3 linked regions of the Macaca fascicularis genome follow. The protein of the gene in region 2 interacts with the protein of the main gene of each other region in a pairwise test. Links are inferred from orthologs where the notes say so. Each region holds a gene or a part of one and is shown on either strand. Other genes may lie near its edges. The genes, in order: FABP2, AGR2 and NUP62CL.

The links.
Region 1: the proteins of AGR2 (region 2) and FABP2 interact in binary tests that used the Homo sapiens proteins (3 or more experiments, as listed by UniProt). The two-hybrid records come from large-scale screens. The link is inferred for Macaca fascicularis from reciprocal best matches to the Homo sapiens genes AGR2 and FABP2.
Region 3: the proteins of AGR2 (region 2) and NUP62CL interact in binary tests that used the Homo sapiens proteins (3 or more experiments, as listed by UniProt). The two-hybrid records come from large-scale screens. The link is inferred for Macaca fascicularis from reciprocal best matches to the Homo sapiens genes AGR2 and NUP62CL.

The regions. Positions count from the first base shown.
Region 1 is NC_088379.1:124,601,811-124,606,039, reverse strand, and holds the start of FABP2 (fatty acid-binding protein, intestinal), read left to right. Parts: upstream 1-1,388; coding exon 1,389-1,455; intron 1,456-2,644; coding exon 2,645-2,817; intron 2,818-3,846; coding exon 3,847-3,954; intron 3,955-4,229. UniProt on the Homo sapiens protein: FABPs are thought to play a role in the intracellular transport of long-chain fatty acids and their acyl-CoA esters. FABP2 is probably involved in triglyceride-rich lipoprotein synthesis.
Region 2 is NC_088377.1:113,397,091-113,401,265, forward strand, and holds the start of AGR2 (anterior gradient protein 2 homolog), read left to right. Parts: upstream 1-1,300; 5' UTR 1,301-1,347; exon of another isoform or gene 1,348-1,365; intron 1,366-4,175. UniProt on the Homo sapiens protein: Required for MUC2 post-transcriptional synthesis and secretion. May play a role in the production of mucus by intestinal cells. Proto-oncogene that may play a role in cell migration, cell differentiation and cell growth. Promotes cell adhesion.
Region 3 is NC_088395.1:113,778,735-113,782,813, reverse strand, and holds the start of NUP62CL (nucleoporin-62 C-terminal-like protein), read left to right. Parts: upstream 1-1,268; 5' UTR 1,269-1,429; intron 1,430-4,079.

The sequences.
Region 1 (4,229 bases), on a different chromosome or scaffold from region 2:
AGGCAAGAAACACTGCACCAGGCAACTCTTTTTCTTTTTTAACGAAATAATAGAGATAGTAGAAAATAGTTTGCTTTTTAAAGTGCTTACTTAATAAAATAAAAAGTGGGCAACTCGAAATAAAAAAATCAAACAATATCAAAAATGTTTAAAAGATTTTTAAAAATCAAAATATAAAATAATACCAAAATTTAAAAACCGGGATTCTATTCCCCAATGTTCTGTTCAAATCTGTTAGATTTATCTTCCCTGGACCCTAAGTAATATCTTGGGCAAGCCCTAGAGCTTCTTTCCTGAGCCTTAGTTAATAAGATGTTATCTGGTCACATTCAATCACAATAATAGACTCATTTTAGTAATAAACATCTTAAGACTAGTAATTAAAACTCTTTACTTCACACCACGTTTCCTCCCCAAGCTTGGCCTGTTCCAGGTTGGCAGCGTGAAGTAGGGGAAGGAGAGATATGGTGACCTTTTCTTTGTACCTTTCTAGCTACCCTCTATACCCTAAACACACATACATACTGAGCTGTGGCTTCTGACTCTACTGGGTTTGGGGATGAGAGGCAGTGAGACTGAAACGAAGGAGTGGTTTTAATTAATGGCACAGCTAAAACCGGATTTTGTTCTCTCTGCACATAGCAGATGTTTAAAGCTAATTCTTTTATGCAAGTTTTTATACTATCCAGCCTCATTTGTACCTCTTGAAATTTTGCTCAGTGGCCTATCACCATTCAGGATCAAGACAAAAATTAATGAGCACTTATTGCGTGTCATGCACTGTACCAAGTGCCACGATATTTATCCAAACTCCTGGCAATGCTAAACACAATGCAAAAAGACATATTAGAAAACGAATCTTATTAACTAACTTTTCAACTGTATTTCATCATAAAGTCTTACTTTATAAGATAATTGCTGCTATGAAAAAGAGACAGGTCATGGTCTCATTTCCCAGATATTATCTGACTTACACTATAAATTATATTAGCTCCAACACAGTGTGCACTTTGAACTTAGAAAAACAATCTTCTGATAGCATGCATTCTAATTCTTGAAATAAGTATGCCCACAAACTGTACTTGAAGACAGAATAGGTATGCTTCTCATGTTTTAATTCAGTTGAATTTCAGAAGATCTCAGGAATGTACAGAATGAGAATTAACTAATTAAGAATTAATTAATAAGAATTCTTATTAATTAATTAATAAGAATTCTTATTAATTAATAAGAATTAATTGCTTGACATAGAGTAGTTAGGTGATTTCCTGAACTTTAAACTTCCACATCACAGTATAGGGTTGCTTCTAAGATAAGAAATATAATAAATTCTTGCCCAAGGACAGACCTGAATCTCTAGTTGCCTGGAGGCTGACTCAACTGAAATCATGGCATTTAATGGCACTTGGAAGGTAGACCGGAGTGAAAACTATGATAAGTTCATGGAAAAAATGGGTAAAGACTTTATTTCTTTGTGGCTTATTCTTTGCTTTCTTACAAACATTTTTCTTTCTAACTCCTAAATCTCTAGGAGATAACAGATAGCTTACAGATAGCTCCTAATGTGGTAGTGAGGATCCAGAAGATGTTCAGAGGAGGGAAATCATATTCTTACTTCTTACATTAGGAAGAATCCACTATCTCACTAATGGAAGAAAAGATTCTTTGAGTGCTGTCCTCTGAAACACACCAAAAAGATCCAGATATGTTTCCTTCACTCTTTAACTGAAAAATGACTTTTTTGTTGTTTACAGTAAGAAAATGGCAGTGTATAATGATAACTTCCAGATTTGAAAATGTTAAATTCTAGGAGATGGAAAAGCAAAGACCATATAAGAAAGTAATGGAAAAAGGTTCTCTTAAAATTTATAGCTCTGAATAAGTTAGATTTAATTCTTATTTCTTCTAACTTACAAAGTTTTGGAATAATCTTGAGAAGCTATGTATTTTCTTCAGGGAAGCTTAATTTAACTGATTTATAAATTGATACCAATACTCTGGCAGCCCATATACTACATAAGATAGGCAAACAAATTTGTGTCATTCCCCTAAAAGAAAAATCTGCATCAATTATAGCTTACAGTTTAGGAATTCTAAGTTTAAATTTATAAAATTTGTAGAGTCTTACAGTGATTTTGGCTATAACATTTGCTAATTTTCTCATTTTTGTGTCAGAAATGCCACAAGAAACAAAGAGAATTATGAAGTTCAAAATTTTAAAGCCACTATGAAAAACAAAGGGGCATTTAAGAAAAAAGAATACGGTATATGTAGAATTAAATATGTGCTTCCTCATAAATATATGAATATACATTTTAATCCTTCATTTGATATTTCTAGAACTTAATTTACTTAACACTGAAATGAACAGTTTGTTAATCTTATTAAAGTTGTTCAGCTCTAAGATTCTATAATTCTGTACTGTACTTAATTTTTCTCAAGTTTTGGAAAAACAACTTTAACCAGTTCTCTTGATCTGATTGAAACTGAACTTCTATAGAAGCAATCTGAATGCTCTTATGCAAAGGCAATGCTACCGAGTTTTCTTCCCACCCTCAAAATAAACAAACAAAACATAACCTGGAAAAATAAACGCTTCTTATGGGATTTGACTTTATTTTCTCCATTGTCTTACCTTTTGCAGGTGTTAATTTAGTGAAAAGGAAGCTTGCAGCTCATGACAATTTGAAGCTGACAATTACACAAGAAGGAAATAAATTCACAGTCAAAGAATCAAGCACTTTTCGAAACATTGAAGTTGTTTTTGAACTTGGTGTCACCTTTAATTACAACCTAGCAGACGGAACTGAACTCAGTGTAAGAATTTTTTTTATGAGCAATGCATTCTTGATTTTTCTACCCAATATTAAAATGATCTCTGCTCTATTTCATTGGTTGGTTTAATTAATGCAGGTCTCCTTCATTTACTGAAGAAGCCAATGAAGTTTGTCTATGTTATATATTGCACAAATTGGCAGGGTTATCTAAGTATTACACTTTTATTTTTATATGCATCTGTGAAGAATCTGAATCGAACAATAAGAATTAGAAAAAATATCTTTTGAATGACTGAGTATAGACCTATTCATAAAAAAAATCAAAACTGTGTTTTTAAACAGTACACCAACAGAAGCTTTTAGAGTTAATATGTAACTTAACTGTAATAGTAATTTAATATGTTGAAATAATAAAAGAAATGGACAAACGAATAAATGAGTGAGTTACCAAATGGCAAGCTTTGATGTAGTGCAGGTCATTGAGAGTGTACCTTTTCACGTTTAAGATAACACATTTTAGGAAGTCATCATTTTCAACAAATTTTTTAAAAACTTTTTTAGCCTCAACATTTTTCTATTTAAATTACATATGTTTGTAATGACAATTTAACTACTGAATGTTTTATCAGTTATGCCTTTCTTTAATTAGTTCCACAATCACACAAATTAAAACAAGCACAGAGTTGTTAACCTCTCTATGAAACTTATTAACCATGTTAATAAGTTAACCATGACTATATTTCTGGATATGTAACATGAAAGATTCAGAAAGAAGCCCTGCTCATCTGCCTTAAAATTCAGCATATGGAAATTATTTAAGAAAACAAGCATAATGGTTATCAACACATACTCTGTAGCCCAATGGTCTAGGTTCAATCCTGACTGTGACTTTAGGTGAATCACTGGGCCATTTTACAGTCTCCTCTTCTGTAAAGTAGGATAACAGTATCAATTTCATAGGGTCACCATGAAGATTAAATGAAAAACTGTGTCTACAGAACTCAGAACAGTGCCTGACATGTGTAAGACCCTAATAAATGCTATTATTGTTATCATCATTATTATGTAGGGGACCTGGAGCCTTGAGGGAAATAAACTTGTTGGAAAATTCAAACGGACAGACAATGGAAATGAACTGAATACTGTCCGAGAAATTATAGGCGATGAACTAGTCCAGGTGAGTTGTAACATTTATAGCTATTTTCAAAAGGCAAAAATTACTACAAAACAATAATTTTTATCACTGCTGAGCTAGATCTTCAGTAAACAGACTACTTCTTTTCTCATAAATCTTACTGATTTAAAAAATATTGTATAGCTATTTTCTGATGCCTATTTACTAAAGAGAACTTACATATGTCAAATGATCAATGCCTATTTTAACTGAAAATGTAAACGACTACAAACCAACAAGCGTTTTAAAATGGCTGTATCCTATATCTGTATAAAATC
Region 2 (4,175 bases):
CTTTCAGGGAATAAGAGACTGATAGACTTTGGTCCCAACTCTGCCCTAAACTAGTTGTGAGACCTTCAAAAAGTTATGAATTTTTTGCTATTCATTTATTCATCTGTAAAATGAGGGAATGGAATTGAACATTCCAAGGGTCTATATAAGGGCCTGCTAGTTTTAAGAATTTTGCTCAAATCATCGTTTTCAAACTCCTGAAGAAATTATTTCTGTAAATTCATTTAGAATTGAAAGGAAATTCAGTATTTGGAGAATCACAATTTCGCCCACAGAATTCAAGGATTTATTGGAAAAATATACATACTTGCAAATGTTTTTGAAATATTATGACCTTAACTCATTTTAAAAAGTCATTTATATAGGGCTTGCATCCCATTCGTTAACTTTCTGTTGTTAAAATTTTCTCCATTCTGAGATTTTAAAGACTGCACGCAACTTCATGAACAAAATACAGGATTAACATTTTCTGACAGAAAATTTAAATTCCAGTTTAAAAATCTTCAGGGAGTAATTAAATAATCTTAAGTGGAAAAAAAAATTAGTTGCAGATCTTAGTTTTTAGGTCTGAAAAAATGGAGTAAATGGCTTCCTGCTTGCGTAGCAGGAAAGTTTGCCTTTAAGTAAGAAATTATCTGTAAAATACCTTTGAACTCTGTGGAGGGAAGTTGCTGCACACATTCAATGGCAAGGTAATTATTACAAGCTCCCAGTATTAGGCTGTTTTTTTTCCAATACTTCCTCAGTTTTGAAATATTATATGGGTTACTTGATTTGTATTTTTTTCATACCTGCAGAAGTTAGGGTGCATTTTTTTGACAGGAGTGGGGACGTATTGTAGAAAATAATTTTTTATCATAATGGAGTATGGCAGGTTATGTGACTGTGAGGATCAGAATTGTGAATCATCTCTTGTGTGTTTTCAAGTAAATAAAGGCAATCTGCCCACGGGGCAGAAAAAAAAAAATCTACAAACTACAAACTCCGTCCAATCACATAAAGACAAATCAGCCTTCAGGCAAATCAAATGTCTTCATTCAAAGTCTACCTGGATTTGGCACTCTGCCCATCGTTTCAAAACCTCTTAACAATACACTTCACAAATAGTTAAAAACATGTATACTGAAAAGCCTACTTTTGCAATGTTATTTTTAAAAACAAGGAACTCTTTAACCCAAGGAAGATAATCACTTGGAAAAAAGAAGGTTCGTTTCTGAGTTAGCAACAAGTAAATGCAGCACTAGTGGGTGGGATTGAGGTGTGCCCTGGTGCATAAATAGAGACTCAGCTGTGCTGGCACACTCAGAAGCTTGGACCGCATCCTAGCCGCCGGCTCACACAAGGCAGGTGGGTGAGGAAATCCAGGTAAGGCTCCTGACAGCAGCTTTAGATGGGCACTTGCTGGAGTGAATTTTGGCCTCTGATTGCTATATAAAGTTGTAGGCAATCAAGCAACAGAGAACTGCAAGTTTCCAAGGGCAATGAAGTAGAATTTGGAAGGGAAATATGGAATTTCCACCAAAGGCTTACTGGGGCCTTTCTTTGGCTAGAGCTGGCACAGTGTGATGTTCCTGAGTTAGTTCAGAGAAAGGCTTTCTCCTTTGGGAAACAAAATTTCCAAGAGTAGGTGAATCCTAGGATTTTTCAAGCCTGGAACAGGGTCCAGGGATTTTCGTCTGTCACCATCTAAAGCTTTCTTTCCCACAGGCTAAAGAAAAGCCCCATACGCATCTCCACTATGACACCTCAGCCCGGATTGTCCGCTTGGAATATATTATTGCAAATCAGAAAACAGTTTTCTTTCTCTTTTTGGTGCAAAGACATTCTTGTTGCCTCTGCAATCTTTAAATTCATGGGATAGGCTGTTCAAGGAGAGGGCTGGTTGCTTTTCTGAAACATTTACAAACACGGACACTAAAATGTCTTGCAAGTTCATTCTTTGCTAAAGATGAGAAGACAGGGATATGGTGACGAGTAAAAAGTGCTGGCTTCACATAGTGTGTGTGTGTGTGTGTGTGTGTGTGTGTGTCCCTATGTGTGCGTGTCTGTGTGTCTCCAAATTATCAGTATTTTCCATGGTTGGAATTGTGCTTTGAGGTGGTTTATGCAGGAAATTTGCACAGCAGAATCTATTCATATTACAAAAACTCAGTGGAGTGAATCTCAGAAAGTCACCCCGGAGCAGGATGTTTGTACAGCAGGAGTTATATTAGCCTTCCTTGAGTCATCCTGCCGTAAAACACAAGCAATATATCAATAGTTCCAACCTGTAACCTTTGGAGATATTGCAAGGTCCTAATAGCTACTTGTAAAACAAGAACTGTAAATGGGCTAAGTAAATAAAAATGCTTTACCATCAATTTACTATTTTTTAGAATATACATAGATGCCGTTATAAATAAAGGACAAAATCCAATGTTTGTTGATAGATTCAAAGAAGTTATTTGCCATCTGTTTCTGAACCAACCAGTATTCTAAAAGTATAATTATTCTCATGTAAAAGTTCTTGATTTTTTTAACATTAAAAAGAAGTCTTTATACAAAGAAGGCTGAGAATTGTTGACTTACAGTGTACACTTAGGTTGTTATTGCAAAACTCTAGAAGACAAAAGTTATTGGCATTTCCACATCTTTTTGGGTATAGAAAATGAACAAAGTATATCCCTGATTTTTGCTTACATCTTTTCTGAGTAAGACATTTTGTGCTTATGTACTATGAATTAGTTAATAATTGGTCAGTTAAATACAAAATGTCATTTCGACCTGGTAACTTAGCAACACCTTTAAAAACAAATCAGCTAATGCTTAGCAAAGGTTTCCACTCAAGATACTAGATTATGAAAAACTTCCCGCTTAACAATAGTGATTCCTTGCAGAGTTTATTTGACTTCATTCAAAACCATTCACCAATACTAGAGTTAGGTGCTGTGGTTTCATATTTCCTTTTTAGCACTTTCAGTGTTTGGTTTTATCAGAATCCCAAGTCTCCAGCCTTCCATGTTACAGCCCCGTGGACAACCTTAGTGACTTGCTAGAGCAACTCACTTTGCTCCCTCCCCACCTCCTCACTCACTAAACTTATCTTGTCATTTATTTTCCTGTTCATAGGCTCTAGCTTTTCCTGGGAATCAACTGTGGAATACCAGAAAGAAAAAGTAATTTAACTAAGATATCGGCTAGGTGTGGTGGCTCACTCCTGTAATCCCAGCACTTTGGGAGGCCAAGGCAGGAGGATCACTTGAGGTCAGGAATTTGAGACCAGCCTGGGCAACATGACAAAAGTCTATCTCTACTAAAAAATACAAAAACATAGCCAAGTATGGTGGCACGTGCCTGTAGTCCTAGCTCCTTAGGAGGCTGAGGAGGGAGGATCACTTGAACCCAGAAGGTGGAGGTTGCAGTGAGCCAAGATTGTACCACTGCACTCCAGCCTGGGCAACAGAGTGAGACCTTGTCTCCAAAAAACGTAAATGTAAATTTCCTTAGCTACTAGAGTATATACATCTATTTTCTTAAAATATAACTATATTATTTCTATATAGATGTATATCTATATAGATAACTCTATATCTATAGAGATCTTTATATTTTTGTCTGTATCTATGTGGATCAATAGACAGCTATCCATACTATATACAGACAGTCCCAACTTACAGTAGTTTGACTTAATTTTTTGACTTTATGATGGTGCAAAAGGAATACACATTCAGTAGAAACTGTATTTCAAGTATCCATATAGCCATTCTGGTTTTTACTTCCAATACAGTATTCATAAAAATTACTTGAGATAGTCAACAGTTTACTATAAAATGGGCTTTGTGTTGGATGTCTTTTCCCAACCGTAAGCTAATGTGAGTGTTCTGAGCACATTTAAGGTAGGTTCAGCTGTGGTGATCATTAGGTTAGGTGTATTACAGTAGTTCCCCCATTATCTGTGGGGGTTATGGTCCATGACCCTCAGTGGATGCCTGAAACCACAGATGAGTACCAAACACTACATATGCTATGTTTTTTCCTATACATATATATCTATGATAAAGTCGAAATTATAAATTAAGCACAATAAGAGATTAACAAGAGCTAATAATAAAACAGAACAATTACAACAGTATCTTATAACAAAAGTTAGGTGAATTTGATCTCTCTCTCAAAATATTGCACTGTGCTCACCTATT
Region 3 (4,079 bases), on a different chromosome or scaffold from region 2:
CACCTCGGCCTCCCAAAGTGCTGGGATTAGAGGCAGGAGCCACCGCGCTTGGCCCGGCAAATTTTCTTGCTGTGCTTTAAATTTTCTCCCCGAGTCCTATTTTTTTTTATTTCTTTAGAAAATACAGTCTCTGTTCTGAATCCTTATCACAAGAAGCTCTTAAGGAGTGATGACTCCTCCCTCTTTGGTCAAACTGGGTTCTCTCCCTTCACTCAGATTTAATTTTTTTGGTCATACTTCCTCATCTTTTGACAGTTACAGTCAAACGACATGTAATACTTTCCCAATCAGCCCTTGGCGAGTAGTAGGTTTTGTAGGTACAAGTAGTCTCTGCACAGTACACTCGGGCCCACCAAGTGAAGGTCTGACCACTTCTGACTCCTCAGCTTATCTAACCAAGCAACACTGGAACTCTCAGGCCACAGAGTTCAAGTTGTCGCACAAAGGACATTATTCACATAGTGAGTACTGGGGTCATTTTTTTCCCCCCAGTCTGAAGTGTTATATCCCCCAAAACATTTCCTAACCAAGGCATGCTAGGCCAGGATAAATCGTGCCTGCACATATAAAACAGAAGGGTACAGTGGCACATATAAAACAGAAGGGTACAGTGGCTGCTCCAGTTTGGAGCACCCAGATCCTCCTATAAGAGAATATGGTTTACATTCCCAAATTAGTCATTATTAATGGGAAGGGAGAATCAATAAGTGCATGTGAGAGTTGAGAGAAGACCAGTTGAGAAACCTTCAGATGTTCATTTTTGCCTTCTGACAGTCGATCAGCACCCATCTCTCACTCACATCCTGTAAAACCGAGTTTTGTTAAAGCAGCGTCCTGCTTCTAGAGTCTAGGATAGCGGGATTTAGGGAACGGGTCTCCTCTACCTTGTTCAAGTTGTGGCTTTTTGGGGTATCTCTCAGAGTTATGAATATCTAGAGTTTTCCCTAGTTTTTCTGATAGCCACGGCATCTGAGGACCCTGTCTTTTCCCCTCCTAAGGTTCGAGTTTCCTCACCTTGGTCAGTTTTCCGGTCTCAGGCTAGGCTCCGAAAAGACTGTGGAGAGCGCGGCGTCTCTCTGTTGCTAGGGTAACAACTTTGTTTTGTTCCCGCCCCCCACCTGCCAACCTCCGGGTTCCCGCTTGACTTTTCTGGCCAATCATAGAAGAGTCTCATCTGAGACAACACTGGAATCGACCAATCCGAGCGCATCCAGGTCAGGGTCACTAGTCGCCCTTTCTAGTTAACCAGGTCGACCCCTTTTAGCCTCAGTCTGGGTTAGCTTCGCTTCAGCGGGAACCTGCTCACAGCGGAGGCCGGTTCTTTCCGGCTCGAGCAGGTCCGGACCCTCCCCTCTGGCGGCTACGCAGTCTCGGAGGCTTGCTCGTATAGTTCAGGGCCGGACAGCGAGCGGCGGCGGCTGCCACCAAGGTAAGTTTGTGGGGTTTTCATTTGTCCCGTTCGTCAGCACGCTTCGCTCTCTTTTACGCTTTTCCCGCGCGTGAATTCCCGATCTGAGGACTCGATCTCCAGCCAATCTGGAGAGGCGGGGGCAGAAGGGTAGGGGCAGTGGGCCGGGGGTTGAGAAGGGTTTGCTACCGTCCTCCACGCCCCCCGCCTTTCGCGTTTCCCCCACGCGACAGAAACACGTATTGTGCTTCCGTCCTGGCTTGGCACGTGCGATCGTGTTTGTATGTGTGCAGGTGGGATCGCATTTTATTCTTCTCTGTGGGCAAGCCTTCCGGGCCCCAAGTTCCCGGGGGAACACCTGGTCAACTGCCACCTGGTTCCTGTGGGGCACTGGCTTGAGCTACGCGTCGCTCCCACTCTAGGGAAAATCGCGGCTCCGGGAGCTCTGCTTTTCCCGCCTTGGAGTGGAGAAAAGCAGGCGCGCCGCTCGCTTGCCACTGCTAGGGAATCTGGTTGTCTTAGGTTCACTTAGAGATAGAGTTGTTACTCTAGTTTCCCATAAATTCCGTGGCTTGGTTTTAAACAAAGGGGCGGCGGGGGGATGGCGTAATAAATATTTACAGTACTTAGGACTGATTAGCCATGATCAACAGTAGGACCCCACAGATGGTTTTAATGAATGGTTACTTTTGGTTATTCAGGTATTGGAATTTGATTATAAATGAACTAAACTGCTTCCTTTCTTTCTTTATACCATGCATTTCTTAACGACCATCCCATCTGGCATAGGGGATAGTGAAGTTTGATTAATTTGTCCATTCTACTTGTTATTATCTACGGTAAACAAAACGTGGGGATAGAATAAGGTTATTGGCTAAAGCAACGTTATTGGCCTTTTAGCCAACTTACCAATACCTTAATTCCCCTTATTACTGTGAATGATCAGAATTTAGGTGTCTTACATTTTGCTAATTCTTTAGATACTTGTGGAGCTTAAATTATAGATATTATGCCATCTCCTTTTTCTGGCTTTTTTGTTTTTATTCTGCCTCATTGTGCATTATTCTAAGTCTGTAATGCTCAGCCGGTGTTTTTCAGACCTTTTGACTGTGACCAACAGTAAGAAATAAATTTTATATTGTGACCTAGTACACATGTAGACAATATATAACGGACAACCATTTTTACAGAAACAACACTTAACATTTACTACCTGCAATATACTCTGATAATTTCCATTATGTTTTAAAAAATGTACACCACAACTCCCTAATGATTTGTCCCTAGATCTTTAGTTTCCAAACTTGTGTGTGCACTTTATTTAAAATTTATTGAAATAAAGAATTTATTTAAGATGCAGATTGCCCTGGCTCCCTCCAGAAATTGGTTCTGTGGTCTAGTGGGACCCAGGAAGGTATACAATATAGCATATGTGAAATACTTGGTACAGTGTCGGGTGCACAGGTGTTCAGTGAATATTAGTTTTCTTCTTGGGGAACAAATGTTATTTATCTTTAGGGATATAATAAACTCTTCAAGGTTTCATCTGTCTCTGGCAAGGTGGCGTCCAATACTAAGAACTGTTTTCCCCAGGTAGAGGAAGTGGCGGGGTGGGGGATGGGTCCAGGATCTGAGATTAATCTTTAAGCAGTTGGCTTCCCTGAACAATGTTGGAAATACAGAAGCTCAGTGGCTGAGGAACACAAGGATTAGAGAGATTCTGTAACTTTCCCAGGACCGTGCTGTCGGTAAGCAGAGACAACTGAATTTGACTCCTAATTCGGTTTTAAAGTAATGAAACTTGAGAGATCTAAAATATTTTTTAGAATACACCCAAAGGTTTCTGTGGATTTATAGCTATGAAAAATGGATATAGTTTAGCTAATTCTTTTATAATATATAGAGTGTTTTAAAACACTGGTTAAATAATTTATTAATGCAACATTGAAAGAAATTAAAGATGAAAAATCACTCAATTCTGCTACCATAATATAACTGATAATTCTGTTCCCCTCCTATCATTATCCATATGTACCTATGTTTTTACATGATTGTGATCCTTTTTCGTGTACTTTTTTGTTATTTTTATTTAATATTGTTTTGGAAATTTTTTTCCATGTTGTGATAGTCTTTATATTTTGCATTATTAACAGCAACCTAATATTTCATAGAATGAGTTAGCTATAATTTACTTAGCCTAACTAACCAACAACAGAAAATAAGACACTATGTGTGCTTTGAAAAGGGAGATGTAGCCAGGTGCGATGGCTCACACCTGTAATCCCAGCACTTTGGGAGGCTGAGGCAGAAGAATCACTTGAACTCAGGAGTTCAAGACCAGCCTGGGTAACATAGGGAGCCCCCATCTCTATAAAAAATATTAAAAAATTAGTCAGGCTTGGTGCCATGTGCCTGTGGTCCCAGCTACTCAGGAGGCTGAGGTGGGAGGATTGCTTGAGCATGGGAGGTTGAGGCTGCAGTGAGCTGTGATTACGCCACTGCACTCCAGCCTGGGTGACAGAACAAGACCCTGTCTCAAAAAAAAAAAAAAAAAAAAAAAAAGGTAAAGGGAGATGTGAGATGTGCTAATATAGTTATTCCATGATGTCTTGGGTTATTTAAAATCATTTCTATAACTGTATCTTACGTAACAGTGAGCTCAATAGGAAGC